4 linked regions of the Caenorhabditis elegans genome follow. The protein of the gene in region 1 purifies or fractionates together with the protein of each later gene. This does not show direct contact. Each region holds a gene or a part of one and is shown on either strand. Other genes may lie near its edges. The genes, in order: sucl-1, cox-6A, nduf-9 and cox-5B.

Region 1 (4,327 bases):
AAGGAAGAAAGCTCTTAGTAACTCAGTAGGTACCTAGGTAAAGCCTTACATTTTTTCTATAGGAATCAGAATTTAAACAAGGGAAGAAACTATATAAAAGATACATAGGTCCAGTTGCTAAAATTTTTTAATGCAGCAGAAAAAATCGGTTTGATTAAATTTTGATTTTCTAAAATTTGGTAAATTAGTGTTTCAATAATGTTTTGAAAGATGATCGCGGTTTATGGGCATCGTGATCAGACGATTTACCAAACTTGAAAACCGCATGCGAATGAAACTTTACGGCGTTTGGAAATCATATCTAACCCACCGACATTCTTCTTGATTCTTGATCTGCAAATTTTCAGTCAACCCCTACGATCTCCCTACCGTCAAACCGCAAAGTTCAAACGTGTATGGACCAAGGAAACCGCAGTTCGTCGAAAATCAATAATCATCGAAGAAGTAGCACCATCGTCCAGTCGAATTGCTAGATTATGGCTAGTTCCGTGTATTTTTCTTTTACATTCCATCTTTGCCATTTTCCCATGAACAACTTTCAACTTTCAATCAATTGGTTTGCGACAACTGCAATTTTTCCATTTTATCGGAAAAATTCAGCCACACAGTTATCTAGAGGCAAACATATTAAAAAATTAGAGAAAAAGAGACAAGAAAGAGAGAAAAAAGAGAGAAGTCATAGAAATATTGAAATTAAAAACGCAAGATCACTAAAAAGTGTGTAAGCTATTTTCTTACAGAAAAGGGGGAGGGAGACAAGTTGAGTATTAAATCAGCGAGGGTTCCTGTTTAGATCTTTCCCAGGAAAGCGGTGGCCATGGAGGTTCCAAGTTTAGCTGGAGAGTCGGTAACCTGAAACAAATTATGGCATTTTTTTAGCAACCAAGTTTAATTTTTCAAAATATCTTTAAAAACCTGCTGACTTTTCAAGTTAAATTCTAAGGTAAATCGTCATGAACAAGGTGTAACTTCATAAATGTTCTAGATTATTTTGACAACTTTTGCAACAGAACACTGTATATCCCAAGCTTCAAAGTGCAGCTTTAAATTTTATTCTGGAAAAACGTAAAAACTTACTACTACTCCGGCTTCTCTAAGAGCATTGATCTTGTCAGCAGCGGTTCCCTTTCCTCCCGAAATGATGGCTCCGGCGTGTCCCATTCTTCTGCCTGGTGGAGCTGTGACTCCGGCAATGAATGAGACGACTGGCTTCCTGTTGGCTCCCGAGTTGTGCTCCTTAAGGTATGCGGCGGCCTCCTCTTCAGCTGATCCTCCGATTTCTCCGATGAGAATGATTCCTGGAAAATAATTGGTTTCATATTCTTTTTTTTTTTAATTTTTACTGGCTACTCTGGGTACTGATAAATACAAAATCACATTGTTTGAGTTCACATTAGGGTATTATTTTCATGAAACATGAGCTCACCCTTAGTTTCTGGATCCTCAAGGAAGACGTTCAAGCAGTCGATGAAGTTTGTTCCATTGAATGGATCGCCTCCAATTCCGACGCACAAAGTCTGTCCGAATCCGACTTGAGTAGTCTGGTGCACAGCTTCATAGGTGAGAGTTCCTGAGCGGGAGACGATTCCGATGCATCCCTACAAGTTCAGCAAACAGTTTTGATAAAATTTTTAATTGATAATTTCTGAACATGTTTTCGAAGTTCAACTTCACTTGAGAAGGATTTTAAAGGGTTCTACAACAATATTTATAACTTACTCTCTTGTGAATGTGTCCTGGCATGATTCCGATCTTGCACTGATCGGCCGAGATGATTCCTGGACAGTTTGGCCCAACAAGTCTTGTCTTGTTCTGCTTGAGAAGACGCGACTTAACACGGACCATATCGTGTTGTGGGATTCCTTCAGTGATGCACACCACCAATGGAATCTCGGCGTCCATGGCTTCCTCGATGGCGCTACCGGCAGCACTGGCTGGAACGTAGATGACAGAGGCGTCGGCTCCGGTCTTGTTGCGAGCTTCGGAGACGTTCTTGAAGACCGGGAGTCCCAAGTGCTCTGTTCCGGCCTTGTTGGCATTTACTCCACCGACGACTTTAGTGTTGTACTCGAGCATTTGCTTTCCATGGAAGGTACCCTGAAATTTTTGTGAATTTTTTTTTTGAAATACATATTTTCGATATTTTAAGAGTTCGCTATGCGCAAAGTATTGACGTCAAAAGCATATCTGAATACATTAAAATTTTATAGCCGTTGAACTTTGAAAACACTGAATTTAAAGTGAGTTGCGAAGACAGGCGTTTTCATTTTAAGATGTAATTTTTTATGAAGCTGAGTTGTGACCTCTATTTTGCATAAAGCGTATTGTCAGTGTTTGAGTTTATATTATCGCTCCAGAAGCTCCCACGCCATTCATAAATTTATTCGGGTATACCTGCTTTCCTGTGAATCCTTGCACAATAACCTTGGTGTCCTTGTTGATTTTCAGGTTGTTGTAAGTGCTGTTGTAGAAACGAGCAGCTCCTGGAAATACAAATAAGGTGATTTAAATGAAATAGGCAAACATACCCTTCTGCAAAGTTCTAGCATTGTTGGCAATTTGCTGACTCAACATGGTTCCCTGAAAGAAAGATATTATTCAATTGCCGTAAAATTTAAGATGAACGGTGCAATCGAGAAGATGCAATGAAAATGTGAAAAGCTTATTTTCAATAAAAAAAGATAGATTAAAGTAGTTGTATCATCAAAAATAAGATTTATCAAAAACAAAAATAAAACCAACAAAAAAAATAGATTCCTTGATATCTAAACAACTAACTCTTGTGTTACACAAAACAAAAGGGTAGAGAGTGAGTATCGCGTGAGAGGCAGCAGAGAAAACAAGGACGTACGCAGCCAATTGGTTGGCTGAGTATCAAACGATTAGACACTGCCCAACGCTGCCCCGTCCGTTCTCGCTCTCTTCCAACGTGCCTGCACACGTTGTGCGGCGGCCGGGAGAGTGTGAGTGGTGCGGTTGCACAAGTTGGAAACCAAGTCGGCGAAAGACAATCGAGTAGTTTTTTTTTTGGCAGTTATCACAGTGGATGAGGAAGTGGACATTTGAGAAAAGTGTTTGGGGCAAGTGGACTTTTAATTATCATTATTTATAGAAATTTGTGGAGTGCGAAGTGGTCCCTCATTTTATGAAATTTTTTTCAGTATAACTACAAAAATTAATTGATCACTCTTTGTCCAGGGAAGGAATTCACTGTTAAATCACAGACAAAACCAAATCACAGCTTTGAATCTGTAATCAATTTTAGAAATCAACATTGGTTTTCCAGCTTCATTTTTCTATTGCTGTAGTAGTCTCAAGACAGACCGACTTAGTTACATAGTGACCGTTCTCGTAATTATTTAAAACAATCTAAGGGCGTTTGAAGTTGAATATCTCTGGTCCAACCGTTTACCAAACTGTCAATATTTATTGCATACTTTTGTTGCTTCAAAATTGATAAACATATATTTTTAGTCTATAAGTTCACTCATTTATTAAAATACGCTAGTCAATAAGAACATGTGGAATTAACTACTTGTTTACACAGTCTTAAAAATACTGAGAATTCAAAAATTAAAAAAAAACAACATTTTTGAATACCTATGGAGAAGCCGTACCCCAAAAATTTTAATCATTTCAAAAAATTCAGATGTGGTTTTATAAGCCTACGACTTCAATTTAACCTCAAATTTTAATAAATTACAATTTGAATTAGAAATAAGTTGGACATTAATTTTTTAGGTATGCTTGGTCTTAAAATATTAACTTTAAAAATAACGATTCAAATATTCAAATCTTTTTTGTCTGATATCAAAAAAAACCTGTTAACTAACTGAAAAAATTAGGTAGCTTGTTAGAAAAAAAAGAAAACTGTTCTTCGGTTTTCGTTTCTGCAAAATGATAAAAATTGAGTAATCAACTTTCTCGAACATTTTATCTATCAATGATCAAATACGAACTTCAACAATAGTTTTCAAATTACAAAAAAAATATGCATAGAGAAAAGGGAATATCTAAAACTAACATTTCTGTCAGCAAAATTGACTTTATTTTTATTTTTCTATCACCCAATCATTCGTTTCACGTGCGCACAATCGCTCTTGGAGATTATGCTCAAAGCTTACAAATAATTTATAGTTTTCCCTCCTCTCAACGGTTTGGTCAACTTTCTTGAAAGTTGTCTCGTGTCTTGCAGTGAAAACGTTTTTTTTCCAGTTTTTCGCTGTTTTTTTTTCTCCCGTCGTCCTCTCGTCTTCTTCTTTCCCAGCAATTTATTGATTTGTGGCGGTGGTGTGCTCCCGAGCCTCCCGAATCCGCACATTATCAT
Region 2 (3,702 bases), on another chromosome or scaffold:
CTTGCTGATTTCGAACCTTGGCGACTTCTTCCATTCACTAGAGATATTATCACTTATGAAGGATCTCTCACTTCTCCTGGATGCCATGAGACTGTCACTTGGATTATTCTGAATCAACCTATTTTTATCAAAAAGGAGCATGTAAGTTTTTTAATAGTCTATAAAAAACTTTGATTCTAAATTTACAGTTCGAGGAGTGGTCACACTTATATCTGAGCATGGAAGGCGCCGAGAAAGTCCCCGTTGCCCCAAATTTCAGGAAAATTCAAGAAACTAACAATCGACTAGTAAGAACAAATATTCAGCACAAGGTTTGGATATTTCTTTCATAAAAATATCTGAAGAAAATTATTTGAATTCCAGATGAGCTACAATTGCAATGTCTCAGTGAATAAAATCCACTATCGTGCAAATCATTTGCCACTGCCAAAACAACAGCATTCTTCTCGTCGCCACAATAATCCATTTGTCTGAAAAGAAAACTCCCGACTTTGCTCAAAGATTTCTCACGAATATTTTTCAAATTGTTCTTGTTTTGCAATAATTTTTTCGACTTTTTATACAATTCTGAAACTACACTTGCGCAAAACATGTCTCGTTTTGTTAAACTAAACAACTCGAAGCACACACACAAATGGATGACGTTAAATATGATGATTAATTGTATCGTCCAGCATTGTTTAGTGCTTCTCACGGTCAGCCTCGAATCCAACTCCTGGAACAAATTGCTCCGCCTTGTTGTGGAACAATGAGTGATTTCCATCGGACCATGGGAATGGCTGAAATTGAATATTTATTAGGAATGCATTTTCAGAATGGATTGATTGATTTTCAAGAAAAAAATGTTGGCGATTCTAAATTGCAAAAAAGTAGGAAAGTTTTTGCTAAAATCTTTAATTTTGTCAACTTTTCTGTGTTGCAAACGTCGGAAATGAGTATTTATTTTATTATCATCCTTTTTTCATGTTTTGGTTGTTAATTTTACGTTATTCCGTCGATTTAGGTCAATTTTAGTCTGATAGACCAAAACAATAATTCAATAAAACTGTATTCCAGCAGCTGCAACTAGAACATGTTGGCTAAATTGGAGATTTAGCTAAAATTTTTCTTACTCTTTTTTTGAAATTTTTAACCATCTTGGGAATTTATTGAGACCAATCGTTTTTTTTAATTACTGAGAAAACGCCAAATTATAAAATTGTATAATCATTTAAAAGCTTGATTGTAGAAATTAAAATTCCAAAAAAGCGACTGTTTTTTTTTTAATTCGTTTTGAATATTATTAAACTTCACAGTCATCCTTTTTAGTTTGAAAAATGCCAGAAAGATGACATTTTTAAACAGTTTGCCGATAACTTCTTTAATGAGGAAGACATGAAAGCTAAATAACATTTTTTAAGTAAAATTTTAAACTATGGCAGATTTCAAGATAAAAACGAATATTTTACCTTGTTGCGAACGTTCAAGAAGGCGTACTCGACGTGCTCTGGGCGTTCGTGGCTCATGTGTTTTTTGTGATCCTTGAAGGCGGCATACATGGTAAGAGCCAAGCATGGAATCGAAGCAATGAAGAAGATTTTCTTCCAGGTCTCGCTAGCATCTGAAAAATATATTTTAATCTTTGAACATCAAAATAGAAACTATTTATTTTAAAAAAAAACACTTACTGTGAGCTTGCTTGAGTGGAGTGACATATGACTCTTTGAATCCTTCGACATTGTTGGATCCGTAAAATGATCCTGAGGATTTGCGTTGGAAGGTCTTGACGACCGAGCGGGTAGCTGGTTGAGCGAGACGGTTCATGTCGGATACCTTTAAAATTTGAAATGAAGTTGAGATTTGTGAGAAAAACGGAACGCGGGGGGAGAAGGAGGGGGAACAAACTTGTTTACGTGAAAATTGAGAAAAAAAGAGAAAAATCAGGTGATTTGATGAAAAAGTACAAAATTGTGATTTTTAAATCAGAAAAAGCAATAAAACAAACTCACAAAATAAAAACAAATGAGGTTTTTCTTACGTCTTAAGAAACCTAATAATTGCTATGAAGAATTTTAGAAATTTAAACCCGACAATAATGATTGAATGACATGGTTGAACACTTGCAGATTTGAATTCGAAAAAGTGGAATTTCTAGTCGAACAATATCGATTTACGGCTGCGGTTTATATGCTATTGTGGTTAAAAAATTCATAATTTGTAATTTAATCATTTGAAACTCAAAAATAATCAATAAAAGCACTGTTTGTGAAGTAAAACCACAGAAACGCACGTTTCCTCAAGAGAAAATAACGGAGAGGCCGTCTTCGCTGCGAGACCAGCCGGTGAAATGGCGTGCGCCTTTAAGGTGTGTGAAATAATTGTGCTGCAACATGCTGTCTAATTTGCCTATTATCTCCGTTAGAAATGCTTCAAATTTTCTGAAACTTTGTTACCTGTTAAAACATGACATGTAGAACGAACACATAAAAAATTATTAATATCGATTCATTGGCTAAAAAGTTATTGACGGAAATAAGTATCAAGTTTTGGTTCGATTCTTGCCCTTTTTGAGTTGCTTGACGGAGAATTGCGGAACCCACGAGATGTCTGCCGCCTTGCAGGTGGCCACTATATAAGCAACAACTGGTCCTGGCTGTCTCGTTCTTCCGAGAACATATACTAAAATTGGAACAATACAGAGAAGATTAGCATGGCCCCTGCGCAAGGATGACACGCAAATTCGTGAAGCGTTCCAAATTTTTTTTAAAATTTCGCGTAACCTACCGGAAGCTCGTAAAATTTTTGCCTTTTGAAGATTTTACGACTGATCCTCTAATGTACAGAGTAATAATTCGTTTGTCCTGAATCAATCAATTCACAAAGAAGTCGAGACTTTTATGAGTCGTCCTGTAGGTGTCTATTTCTTTCAGAATTCTTTTTCAATATATGTGAAAAATAGATAAATACAACACGTATATTAAGAGCAATAAACATTTTTCAAAAAAAAAAGCAAAAGGAACAAAAATTACAGGGAAAGCGAAAATTCAAGAAATTTATGAGTTCTTCTGTGGAACCTTGATGGTGACAGTCTTTACTTCAGTGTATGCCTCAAGACCATATTCTCCGAGTTCGCGACCGATTCCTAAAAGAAAAAGTATTTTTTAACTTTGGCATGGAGAAATTTTAATAATAAATTAGCTTACCGGACTGCTTGAATCCTCCGAATGGAGCAGCAGCATCGAACACATCGTAACAATTAACCCAGACAGATCCAGCTCTGGTTGCGTTGGCAATATGAAGTGCCTTATCAATATCCTTAGTCATAACTCCAGCAGCCAATCCATAAATAGTGTTATTAGCCTTTTCAACTAATTCTTCCATTGTGTCGAATCTAATGATAGTCATAACAGGTCCAAAGATTTCTTCTTGAGCAATAGTCATCTGATCCTTAACATTAGCGAAGATAGTTGGCTTCACAAAGTGTCCTTGATCTCCGTGTTTGGCTCCTCCAGTCACCAATTGAGCTCCATCCTTCTTTCCAGCAGCGATATATTTTAAAATAGTCTCAACCTGCTTTCCGTCAACTTGTGGTCCTTGAGTAGTTTTCAAATCAAATGGATCTCCGATAACAGCCTTCTCGGCCAATTCCTTGGAACGAGCTACGAAATCATCATAGATCTTTCCTTCGACAAATGTTCTGGATCCGGCACAACAGCACTGTCC
Region 3 (7,652 bases), on another chromosome or scaffold:
CGATAATTTCCGTAAATTATCGATTTTATTCGCTAAATTTTTTTTTCAAAAAAAAAAATCAATAAAATCCATTTTTCGACTAAAAATCGATAATTTTGAAAAAATTTTCGATTTTTTTCGAATTTTTTTGATGAAAATCGGGTTGTTTCCGCCACTTCTACAAAAAAAATTCCTCAAAATTGTGCCTACGCCTACCTGATTTAACAATTCAACGGTAGGCACAAGGCAGGCGTAGGTAGGCTTTCCGAAATTTCCAATTTTTTGACTCAAAAATCAGTTTTTTTTAAGTGTTTTTCACTTAAAAAATGGATTTTTCCGTAAAAATTGCCCGATTTTTGGCGGAAAACCGATTTTTAATTAAAAAAATCTAAAATTTGAGGCGTTTTTGCTCATTTTAAGCCCTAAAACCTACCACAAACTCCATCCATTCTCTGTTGAGTGGAACTTTACACTTGAACACTTTACCATAGAGTTCGGTGGCCATTGTGAGAGCCATGAAATATGGATCCGGCATTCCGTGACGCTTGTATCTGCAAAAATTTGAGCTTTTTCTCGGGTCCCGCCACGAAAATAATTGAAAAATTCGCGATTTTTCTCGAAATTTCACGCCTGGGTCCCGCCGCCACGAAACAATACCTCGCGGGTTACTGTACTCAAGAAATTTTTTTTTTTCAACTTTTTCGTGGCGAGACCCAAAAAAAAATGTAGTTTTCACGATTTTTACGTCTAAATTTATATTTTTTAGCCAATTTTCATAAAGTTCACGTTAAAAATCATCAATTTTCAGTGAAAATATTGATTTTTTTGATTTTTTAAGGTCTCGCCACGGAATAATATCTCGCGGGTTACTGTACTCGTGAAATTTTCGTTGCGAGACCCGATTAAAGCTACAAGCCTAGAATTTTGAGGAGAATTCGAATTTTCAAAATTTCCTGATTGATGCACAACCCATGTGCCTTTAAATTTGAAAAAAATAAAGTTTTCGTGGCGAGACCCAGTTTTCACGATTTTTAAGTCCAATTTTCATGAATTTCTCGTTAAAAATTATCAATTTTCATGATTTTTTTGCCCAAAAATTAGCAATTTTCCTTCATTTTAGGCCAATTTTCGGCGGGAAAATCGAAAAACCGGGTACCTGAATCCAAAATCAGACAAACAATGCGCTTTTTTGTACATGAAATCAATCAATTCAGACAATTGATAGCAGTGTGGTCCAACAAATTCATAAGTATGTCCTTTTGCTGTTGGATCATTTACAGCACTTTGAATTCCGGCGGCAACGTCTCCAACCTGCAAGAAAATCGGAATTTTTCGCCAATTTTCTCGAAATTTTGATCAATTTCGTTGAAAACTCGGCAAAAAATGGTAAATTTTGAGCCAAAATTTGCAAATTTCTGTGAATTTTTTTTGAAATTTTACGGATTTTCACTCCTTTTAATGAAATTTCGCGCGAAAATACCGTTTTTTAATGGAATTTAACCAAAAAATTCAATATATATACTTGCCATTTTTAGCAATGTTTCAACAATTTTTTTCAAGTGAATATGGGAAATTACCGAAAATTGGAATTGATAACATTTTTAAACGATTTTTTGTATGTTTTTCGTCAAAAATCGTCAATTTTCTTCAAAATTTTCAATTTTGGACCAAATTTCAGCCATTTTTTGTCATTTTTGGCCAATTTAAACGTTTTTAAAGCTTTTTTTTTTATTTCGCTTATTTTCGCAAATTCCACCGTTTATAGGCAGTTTTAGGCCGAATTGTATGTATTTCGAGTAATTTTTTGAATTTTCAAACAAATTGGGCCTATTTTGAACAATTTTCACTCATTTTTGGCCGATTTTTCTTTTTTAAACTAAAACTAAAAACTAAAAAAGCAACCTGCAAGAAAATCGAGATTTTTTTAGTGATTTTTCGCCGATTTTCTCGAAATTTTGATCAATTTCGTTGAAAATTCGGCAAAAAATGGTAAATTTTGAGTTATTTTTACTGAAATTGTGCGAAAAATGAATTGAATTTTGGCAAAAATTCAAGGTTTTGAGTCAAAATATCCAAAATTTGGTCATTTTTCGCAATAAAATGGTGCCTACTTATGCCTACCATCAATTTTTTTTCGGCAGAAATGGACAATTTTAAGCCAAAATTTGCAAATTTCGGTGAATTTTTCTGAAAAAATCATCATTTTTGATGGAATTTAAGCAAAAATTCGAGATTTTCAGTCAAAATTTGTCATTTTTAGCAATTTTTTGACAATTTTCTGTGTGAAAATCGAAAATTTTGTTACATTTTTGAGGAGAAAACGATTTTTGCCAAAATTCTACCAATTTTCGACTAGTTTTATCAAATTTTGGGTGAAATTCCGAAAATTTTCAGTTTTGTGCCAAATTTCAGCCATTTTCAGTCATTTTTGGACAATTTAAATGGTTTTAAAGCTTTTTTTCATAAAATTTCGCAAATTCCAGCGTTTATAGGTAACTTTAAGCCTCATTTCCTTGAATTTTGAAATTTTTTTTCTCTAATTTTTAAGCAAATTAAATAAATTCCATCAATTTTTAGCGAATTTCACATATTTTGAGCAACTTTATATGAAATTTCGAGACTTTTCATAAATATTTGGACTCATTTTAATTGTATTAAAAGCCAATTTTTATGAATTTTGACATTTTTCAGTTCATTTGGATTTATTGTAATGAATTTTGAGTCATTTTTTTCAATTTCAAGCGAATTTTCATGAAATTTCGTAGATTTAGACCGATTTTCACGGATTTTCGACTTTTTATTTTTAAAATTCAGTTATTAGGTCAAATTACACCATTTTTGGCCGAGGTTTTGAGTCAAAATATGCGAAATTTGGACATTTTTTGCATTTTTTCGCAAAAAAAAAATTGTGCCTACTTTATGCCTACCGCCGCCTACCATCAATTTTTTTTCGGCAAAAATGGACAATTTTAAGCCAAAATTTGCAAATTTCGGTGAATTTTTCTGGAATTTTACCGATTTTTACATTTTGATGAAATTTAAGCAAAAATTCAAGTTTTTCAGTCAAAATTTGTCATTTTTAGCAATTTTTTGACAATTTTCTGTGTGAAAATACGATTTTTGCCGAAATTCTACCAATTTTCGACTAGTTTTATCAAATTTTATGAAATTTTGGGTGAAATTCCGAAAATTTTCAATTTTGTGCCAAATTTCAGCCATTTTCAGTCATTTTTGGCCAATTTAAATGGTTTTAAGGCTTTTTTTTCATAAAATTTCGCAAATTACAGCGTTTCTCGAATTTTGAGTAATTTTTCCGATTTTCAAACAAAAATTGGTCATATTTTGAACAATTTTCAGTAATTTTTGGCCGATTTGTTGGAATTTTTGACTTTTTAAATTTAAAATTCAATTTTTAGACGGACTTATGCCAATTTCCTTGAATTTTGAAATTTTTTTCTAATTTTTAAGCAAATTAAATAAATTCCAGCAATTTTTAGCGAATTTCACGTATTTTGAGCAACTTTATATGAAATTTCGAGACTTTTCATAAATATTTGGACTCATTTTATTTGTATTAGGCCAATTTTTATGAATTTTGACATTTTTCAGTTCATTTGGATTTATTGTAATGAATTTTGAGTCATTTTTCTCAATTTCAAGCGAATTTTCATGAAATTTCGTAGATTTAGACCGATTTTCACGGATTTTCGACTTTTTATTTTTAAAATTCAGTTATTAGGTCAAATTACACCATTTTTCTCGATTTTCATGAAATTTTCTACTTTAAAAAAAAATTTTTTTTCGTCATTTTTGGCCGATTTTCACGTATTTTAGGTCATTTTTCATGAATTTTCGCCCAATTTTCAATATTCAAACAATTTTCAGCCATTTTTGAATTTTTATTGACTAAAATTCAGTTTTTTGGTCAAATTACTTCAATTTTTTTGAATTTTAAGTAATTGTTCAGCATTTTTGGCGAATTTCACGTATTTTGAGCTTTTTTTAAAATGTATTTTATGAAATTTTGATTAATTTCGTTCAAAATTCGGTTGAAAATGGATTTTTCTATAATTTTAATCAATATTAACGGAAAATAAAATTTTTTTGACAATTTTTAATGTGAAAATCGTAAATTTTCAAAAAATCTCGGTTTTTGTGAGTTTTTCGTTAAAATATTTAATTTTGTGCCAAATTTCAGCCATTTTCAGTCATTTTCGGCCAATTTTCACGTATTTTAGGTCATTTTTCATGAATTATCGGCCAATTCCGTACCCAAATCGGCATTTTATACGTTTCTTCTCCCTTCTTGTACAAATACACATAATCCAATGGAGTTTTTCGCCATCTTGACACATAATATTGAATAAATCCATCCAATTCACCGTAGATCACAGATGGGCGAATAATTGTTGCTTCTGGGAATTCTTCACGTACAGCAACTTCTCCGAGTCCTTTTGAATGAAGAAATTGCGATTTTGCGACAAAATGTCCCTTTTGTGGTTGTGTAGTTGCTCCGAGAGCCGACAAATGCACAAATTTCTCCACACCCATTTCTTTGCAAATTCGAGCCAAACGGCGGGCTCCCGTGTCGTTGACGTCATAGTAATTGTACTTTCTGCAAGGAAAAATGGCTTAAAATTGGGATTTTTAGAAGGAAAAAGTGGGGAAATTTGAATTTTTCAATAGAAAATGGCAGTTTTCTCGAAAATTTTGGAGAAAAATTGAGCAATTTAGTTTTTTTTGAATTTTTTAAAAATATTTTTTGAATTTTCAGTGAAAAAAACGGCGCGAAACTCAAAATTTTGAAGATTTTTCGGACATTTTTCAAATTTTTAGCCAAAAAGTGGAGCCAAATTCAAAATTTAAGGGGATTTTTCAATTTTTAATTGATTTTCAGTTGGAAAAAGTGAGGAATTTTGAGTTTTTCAATGAAAAAACTGGAAAAAAAGAGCTTTTTTTTTGAATTTTGAATGATAATTTGGTGTAAAAAAATTTATTTTTTGAATTTTCAGTAGGAAAAAAGGGTTAAATTCCACATTTTGAAGGTTTTTCAGGCATTTTTTCGAATTTTCAGCGAAAAAGAGTGATTTATTTGGTCAAAAACGGCGCGAAATTTGAATTTTTTGAATTTCCGGCATATTTTGTGAATTTTTCCGCTCAAAAATCTGCAATTTCCTCACCCAGTCGGCACACGAGTTCCGATCAAGTTGATGACGACGTTCGAGTACTTTACAGCCTGAAAAATTGATTTTTTCTGGATTTTCTAGAGAAAAATCCAATTTTTCTCGATTTTCACCTAGAAAACTCTTTTTTTTTCGGAATTTTCTAGAGAAAAAACCTAATTTTTCTCGATTTTCACTGAGAAAACTCTATTTTTTCTGAATTTTCTAAAGAAAAACCCATTTTTTCTCGATTTTCACTGAGAAAACTCTATTTTTTCTGGATTTTCTAGAGAAAAATCCAATTTTTCTCGATTTTCACCTAGAAAACTCGATTTTTCTCTCAATTTCCACGAATTTTAATACCTTTCGAATGCTCTCCTCATCCATCAGCTCAAATGGAAAATAGAGGACTTGTCCGAGCTCGCCGAGCACTTTGTGCTCTCTCATGTAATACGGATCCTGGCGATACGGAATAATGATTTGTGAGCCATTTTTCGCGAATTTATTGACAACTGGAAGTCCCAAGAAGCCTGACGCACCGAATACGGTCACCACATTGCCGGAGAAGGAGGCTCTGCAAAAATTTGGAATTTTTAACGATTTTTTTTGGGAAAAAATTGATTTTTTTTCAATGTTTTTTCAATTTTTCCTAGATTTTTTCCACATTTTCCAGTTTCAAATCATTCTTAGGCTTTTCCTGTACCTTCCACCGGCTCCCTTTCTGAATTGAGCACTCTGAGAGCTGACACGTGGCTCCGGATGAGCATTTTCGGCGGAGGTGACCGCGCTGCTGAAATTCTGACTTCCAACGACCGAAACCGCCTGCCGGGCGCCCAAGCCGGATCTACCCAACACTGATAGCATGGCTGAAATTAGGAAAATCGAGATTTGCAATTGTTTAAAGATTTTTAAAGATTTTTAAAGACTTTTTAAGAATTAAATGGGTTTTCTGCGTTTTTTCGGGATTTTTTCCAGCTAAAAATAGCTTTTCCGGTCGAAAAAATCGATTTTTTATCAAAAAAGCACCGAAAATAGCGAAAAAATCTGGAAAAACCGCTAAAAATGGCTGAAAATGAAGTACGCGGTGCCGAAATAAATAATTTGGCCTGTACGCAATATGGCGTCGGGTTTGACGTTTGCGGACTCGAATGCGCACTTGGAAGGGCGGGGATTGATGACCGTACTCCAAGGAGGAATGAGAAGCTTTGAAATTAGCAAAAATTGGTGAGAAAGGCGGTTTTAAAGAGAGTTTTCAATCTAAATTGTTGAAAAATTAATGAAATATTACTTTTCTTGTTTTACATTCAAGAAAAATTATTAAAATCTTTGAATTAAATAGAAATGCGAAGTTTTCAAGGGATTTCTTCAAAATGTGCGAAATTACAGAAGAATACTGGTAGATTAAACTGAAAATGACATCAAAATTCTCAATTATTAATATTATACGCTATCGAGATAATAAGCATTTATGGCTACAATGTATACGCCTCTCAAAATTACGTTCACATTGCTTTGTGGCTTTGCTGGTAACTCTTTTGCCTTTCACGCAACACACCGGGGTTCGACTCCGCACTGTGGTTCTTTTCTTTTTTTTTCTCGATTTAACCAATTTTAGTCAATTAAAATTCAAATTTAACGATTAAAACCAATTTATTTATCACGTGGAACCCAGAAAAGGAGAAAATTTCGGCCTAAAAAAGTTGAGACACTTGTTAAACGCCGGATTCCTGAAGCAATTCGAGCTGCACTCGGCGGCTAGATTCGGCTGGTCGACTGAAAACATTTCATGGCAAAGTAGGCATATTCTCGTGAGCACTTCGTTTAGAGCCGGTCGTCGGTAAGCCTGGAAATCAAAAAATATTCCGAATTCTTGAAAAAATGCGGAAAAAATCGGCGAAAAACTAGGGTTTTGAATGATTTTTCTCAAATTTTTCAATTTTTTTCAGCGAAATATCGAATAAAAATCGATATATCTCCAGAAACCCCCGAGATTTCCACCATTTAAGCAAAATTCTCAATGGAGCGCGTTTGCAGCTTCGTTGTTCGCTAGAGCGCACTTACTTTGCAGTTCCTCGAATGGTGGTCGGGGCGGGAAAATGAAAATCCGGCAAACGTGACGATAAGTAAGAAGAATACTGGAAAAATCAATGGAATTGTTTAGGCCACAGTGGTTTTTTGGCAGATATTTAGAGTTTTAAAAAATAATTTTCACAGAAACGTTGGCCGAAAGTTAATTTCCAGCGGCGAAATCGCGGAAAAATGGAGCTTTTCGAAGAAAAATTTCGTGGCCTATTTTTTCAGCTGGTTTTTCTTGGCCACGTCTTAAAATTTGAAAAAATTTGATTAAAAAGCAAATTAAGCACGTTTTTCAAAATTAAAAGTGAAGACATAACGCGTTTCTCGAAAAATTTGCAATTTTCTAGAAAAATGCTGCGTGGCCTAACTTTTCCGGTTATTTTTCTAGGCCACGTCTGAAAATTAGTTTTTTATTGAAAAGCAACGAAATTTTTC
Region 4 (3,313 bases), on another chromosome or scaffold:
TAAATGATAAAATGAAAAAGGAAGTCACTAATGGTTCGAAAATTGGAAATGTTTTGAAGAAGTGAGTTATTACTTTTTGATGTAATGCTCAAGCCTGGGCTCTAAATGTATAAATTCGATCTACGACAACACGAAAGCTTAAAATTGTTGAAATGAAGGCAAACAATTGCCAATTTAAAAACAAAATTGTATGTGCTAGTGACAGCACGTGATTTTGAAAACCAATAACAAAATGAGAGGAGCGAGGCATCTGAACTCAGATTTTTATCAGCTAGATTCTGTGGAGGTTGACGGGAGAAACAGCATCATTGATTGTTGTTTCCACCTGTTTTGTTCATTTTTAACATTAACCACCTAATCCAGGAGATTGTCAGGGAAAACCTACGAAGAACATTTTTTCATGTAAGAAATGTAGGTTAAATTGATAAAAAATTAATTTACAGAAATAGGAGACATCTTGACGAAAAACAAAGAAACGAATTGAACCAACTCTAGAAACAGAATGGTTTGTCTTCAAACCAGCGCGTTTTATTTTCACTGATGGAGCGATCTAAAATAAGTCGGAACAATAATCTACATTGAAAATTGTTTAGATGGATTCTGGGTCGGCGTCGACTCCCTTGAACCAGTGTCCGCACTCGCATCTCTTTGGATCTCCTTTGCGAATTGTCATGAAATTGACATGTCCGGAATCTTGCTCACCTGAAAAATAGTTGTTTAATTGAATCAATCATGCTTTTAAATATAACTTACACATGCATCCAATGATTCTGAAGTCGTAGTGAGATGGGACCAAATTTGGCTTCTGCTTGGTGGAAGCCTCAGCGCGATAGTAGACTTTTGGCTCGTAACGCTGAAGAATGAAACTTTTATTATTTAACTTTGAAAAGATGAAGAAATAGTAGATAATTTGCCACTTTTACTAAATGGGTTTCATTTTGTAAACACTTTCTCATTAAAAACCAGTATTAGATACGATAACGACTCAAATTGCAAATCTCCCTCAGATCAGCTTCGACAAAGTTCGTTCAATACGACTCACACTTCAAGACAAAATCTCGAGAGCGAAGTAGCTCACAATTAGCTAAATTGATACATCATGGGGTATACTTTGGAAATTATTGGGAAAATTGTTAAATTTTATTAACAAAAACTCACATCATCTCCAGCAAGACGAGCGAGAAGCATCTTCTTTTCACGTCCGGTAGCGTGCTCAAGTGGATCTGGGTAGTATCCGTAGTCTTCTGGCGAGGCTTCAGTGGCCAAAGTACGACGGGCCACGGCAGCTGGAGCGACGAGCTTCTTCGAAAGGGCGGCAACAGCCGTCTTAGCAAGTTGAGCCATCTGAAAAATACAATTGTATTTCTCAAGTATCAAAAACGACTAAATATAAATTCGATTTCGAATGAAGAAAATTATCGATCGGGAGTCTAAAAATCAAAAAAGGAAGGTGGCCTTATTGAAATAGGGTTAAATTAAAAGATAAACCTCTTGAAAAATCAGAAATTTTTTGAAGAACACTTATATTCTGATTGGACCCTTGAAAATGCGAACAATAGCCGAAAAGAGCCAAAAACGCTTGGCACGATTTACGGAGCCTCAGTGGCGGGCGTACACTCGGCGTACACTCGGCATACACTACGCGCGTCTGTTGCAACGCACAAGACGCTCCTCAATACGAAACACCGTAATGCGAAGAGGATTTGAATTCGTTTCGTCCACTAGGCGCGCTCGGGAGAAATTTTCACTTTTTTTGGCGCGAAACAGACGACAATAGGATTGGGAGATGGCTGTCATTCTTTCTCATTTTTCGCTTCTCAATCGCTCGTATTCTCTCTCTTCGATTTGCTCCTAAAATGGAGTTGTTTGAAAGTTGACTCGTTGTCTACACATGCTGTAAATATTGAGCCACATTTTATTGTTTGTTAACAAATTTTCTTGATTATATTGCAACTTGTGTGTTCAATAGAATCTTTAGTTTTAGGGAATTCGTTTCTCCAGCGGCTAATAAAATCATTATAGATTTGCATTTCGGCTTCTACTTTAGTTACGTGCTATTGCTTGTGATGTTTTTAATTTTTATTTATTTTATCATAGCTTATTTACTGAAACTTAAACTTCGTTTTATTATTTTTTGCATTGAAATCTGAATCGTCCCGATGAATATTTGCATTTTCATGAATAGGACATCCAAGCGTCTATATCATGAACATCGGATTAAGGTTTAGTGGAGAACCTATTTCGCAATATACACCAGATGGCCACTACTAGTCATGTCCACCGAGGAATAGGGTCGCCGCTGTCCTTGGCCAATCGGACAAGCGTCGCTCGTTCCTCTCTCTGACCCGGCACTGCCTCTCTGACCAGTTTCATCCAAGTGACAGATGTCTAGAGCAAGGCAGAAAAGATTGTCGTCTTTAGTCTTCCAATTTGAGTTGTTTTACCCTTTCCTCGCACCAGAATATCTAATGACGAAGAGCTCTGTTTTCTTTCCCAGCCCGACTTTCATTTCTCATTTGACTAGATGCATAGAACCCAATAGGGTTTGACTGCTGTGTATGTACCACGATGCAATGGGCGTAATTGCTCTCTGTTTTCAACGGTCCGAGTCTTTTTCGCTATTTCGCAATACTCTTGAGAGCTAGCATTTCATATGTATGCAATTGGGTTTGTTTCATTTGGAGGCTCATAAATTTTATATCCCAAACCTTCTCCATCTCGTTAACTAATGTAAGTTCCTGGTTTTGTTTTTATTTACTTGTTGTAAACCTTGTACCAAGTTTATATCTGGTTTATTGCCCTGAAAACTATTCAGCCGGAATTGTCAACAGGATTATTTATAATTGAGTTGACCTTGTTTCCTAGTTGATCGACTCCTATGATTTTATCATTCGTACTTTACGCCATATGTTATCCGCGTTCATTTATGATTTCATTTCTTCTAATTTCCGTTAATTTTCAGGTTCGTTTTCAACATGCGTGAGGTCATCTCCATCCACGTCGGACAAGCCGGAGTCCAAATCGGTAATGCTTGCTGGGAGCTCTACTGTCTCGAGCATGGAATCCAGCCCGATGGAACTATGCCATCAGACCAACAAGCCGATGGAGAATCTTTCACCACCTTCTTCTCCGATACTGGAAACGGAAGATATGTTCCAAGATCGATTTTTGTAGATCTTGAGCCAACTGTTGTTGGTAAGCAATAATAAAAACCGTTTCAAATTCAAATTTGTTTTTTTTTTCAGATGAGATCCGCACTGGAACCTACAAGAAGCTGTTCCATCCAGAACAGATGATCACCGGAAAGGAAGAT

Evidence for each region.
Region 2: the proteins of sucl-1 (region 1) and cox-6A fractionate together in Caenorhabditis elegans (co-fractionation; one large-scale study listed by BioGRID). This does not show direct contact.
Region 3: the proteins of sucl-1 (region 1) and nduf-9 fractionate together in Caenorhabditis elegans (co-fractionation; one large-scale study listed by BioGRID). This does not show direct contact.
Region 4: the proteins of sucl-1 (region 1) and cox-5B fractionate together in Caenorhabditis elegans (co-fractionation; one large-scale study listed by BioGRID). This does not show direct contact.

The regions. Positions count from the first base shown.
Region 1 is NC_003284.9:14,752,279-14,756,605, reverse strand, and holds sucl-1 (Succinate--CoA ligase [ADP/GDP-forming] subunit alpha, mitochondrial), read right to left. Parts: upstream 2,581-4,327; 5' UTR 2,575-2,580; coding exon 2,529-2,574; intron 2,484-2,528; coding exon 2,395-2,483; intron 2,098-2,394; coding exon 1,720-2,097; intron 1,599-1,719; coding exon 1,427-1,598; intron 1,299-1,426; coding exon 1,078-1,298; intron 853-1,077; coding exon 790-852; 3' UTR 532-789; downstream 1-531. Other genes in the region: C05G5.5 (Metalloprotease TIKI homolog), read left to right, coding at 348-531. UniProt on the Caenorhabditis elegans protein: Succinyl-CoA synthetase functions in the citric acid cycle (TCA), coupling the hydrolysis of succinyl-CoA to the synthesis of either ATP or GTP and thus represents the only step of substrate-level phosphorylation in the TCA.
Region 2 is NC_003281.10:5,079,836-5,083,537, reverse strand, and holds cox-6A (Cytochrome c oxidase subunit 6A, mitochondrial), read right to left. Parts: upstream 1,813-3,702; 5' UTR 1,804-1,812; coding exon 1,668-1,803; intron 1,601-1,667; coding exon 1,449-1,600; intron 780-1,448; coding exon 681-779; 3' UTR 551-680; downstream 1-550. Other genes in the region: cah-1 (Putative carbonic anhydrase-like protein 1), read left to right, coding at 1-141, 189-332; alh-1 (Aldehyde dehydrogenase domain-containing protein), read right to left, coding at 3,033-3,121, 3,183-3,702. UniProt on the Caenorhabditis elegans protein: Component of the cytochrome c oxidase, the last enzyme in the mitochondrial electron transport chain which drives oxidative phosphorylation.
Region 3 is NC_003281.10:3,242,569-3,250,220, forward strand, and holds the start of nduf-9 (NADH dehydrogenase [ubiquinone] 1 alpha subcomplex subunit 9, mitochondrial), read right to left. Parts: upstream 6,008-7,652; 5' UTR 6,006-6,007; coding exon 5,845-6,005; intron 5,716-5,844; coding exon 5,505-5,715; intron 5,216-5,504; coding exon 5,160-5,215; intron 4,595-5,159; coding exon 4,252-4,594; intron 1,291-4,251; coding exon 1,136-1,290; intron 531-1,135; coding exon 413-530; intron 1-412. Other genes in the region: Y53G8AL.4 (Apple domain-containing protein), read right to left, coding at 6,799-6,984, 7,203-7,276.
Region 4 is NC_003279.8:9,787,040-9,790,352, reverse strand, and holds cox-5B (COX5B-domain-containing protein), read right to left. Parts: upstream 1,345-3,313; coding exon 1,159-1,344; intron 1,133-1,158; exon of another isoform or gene 863-1,132; intron 854-862; coding exon 754-853; intron 703-753; coding exon 590-702; 3' UTR 502-589; downstream 1-501. Other genes in the region: tba-1 (Tubulin alpha chain), read left to right, coding at 2,729-2,730, 2,963-3,195, 3,246-3,313.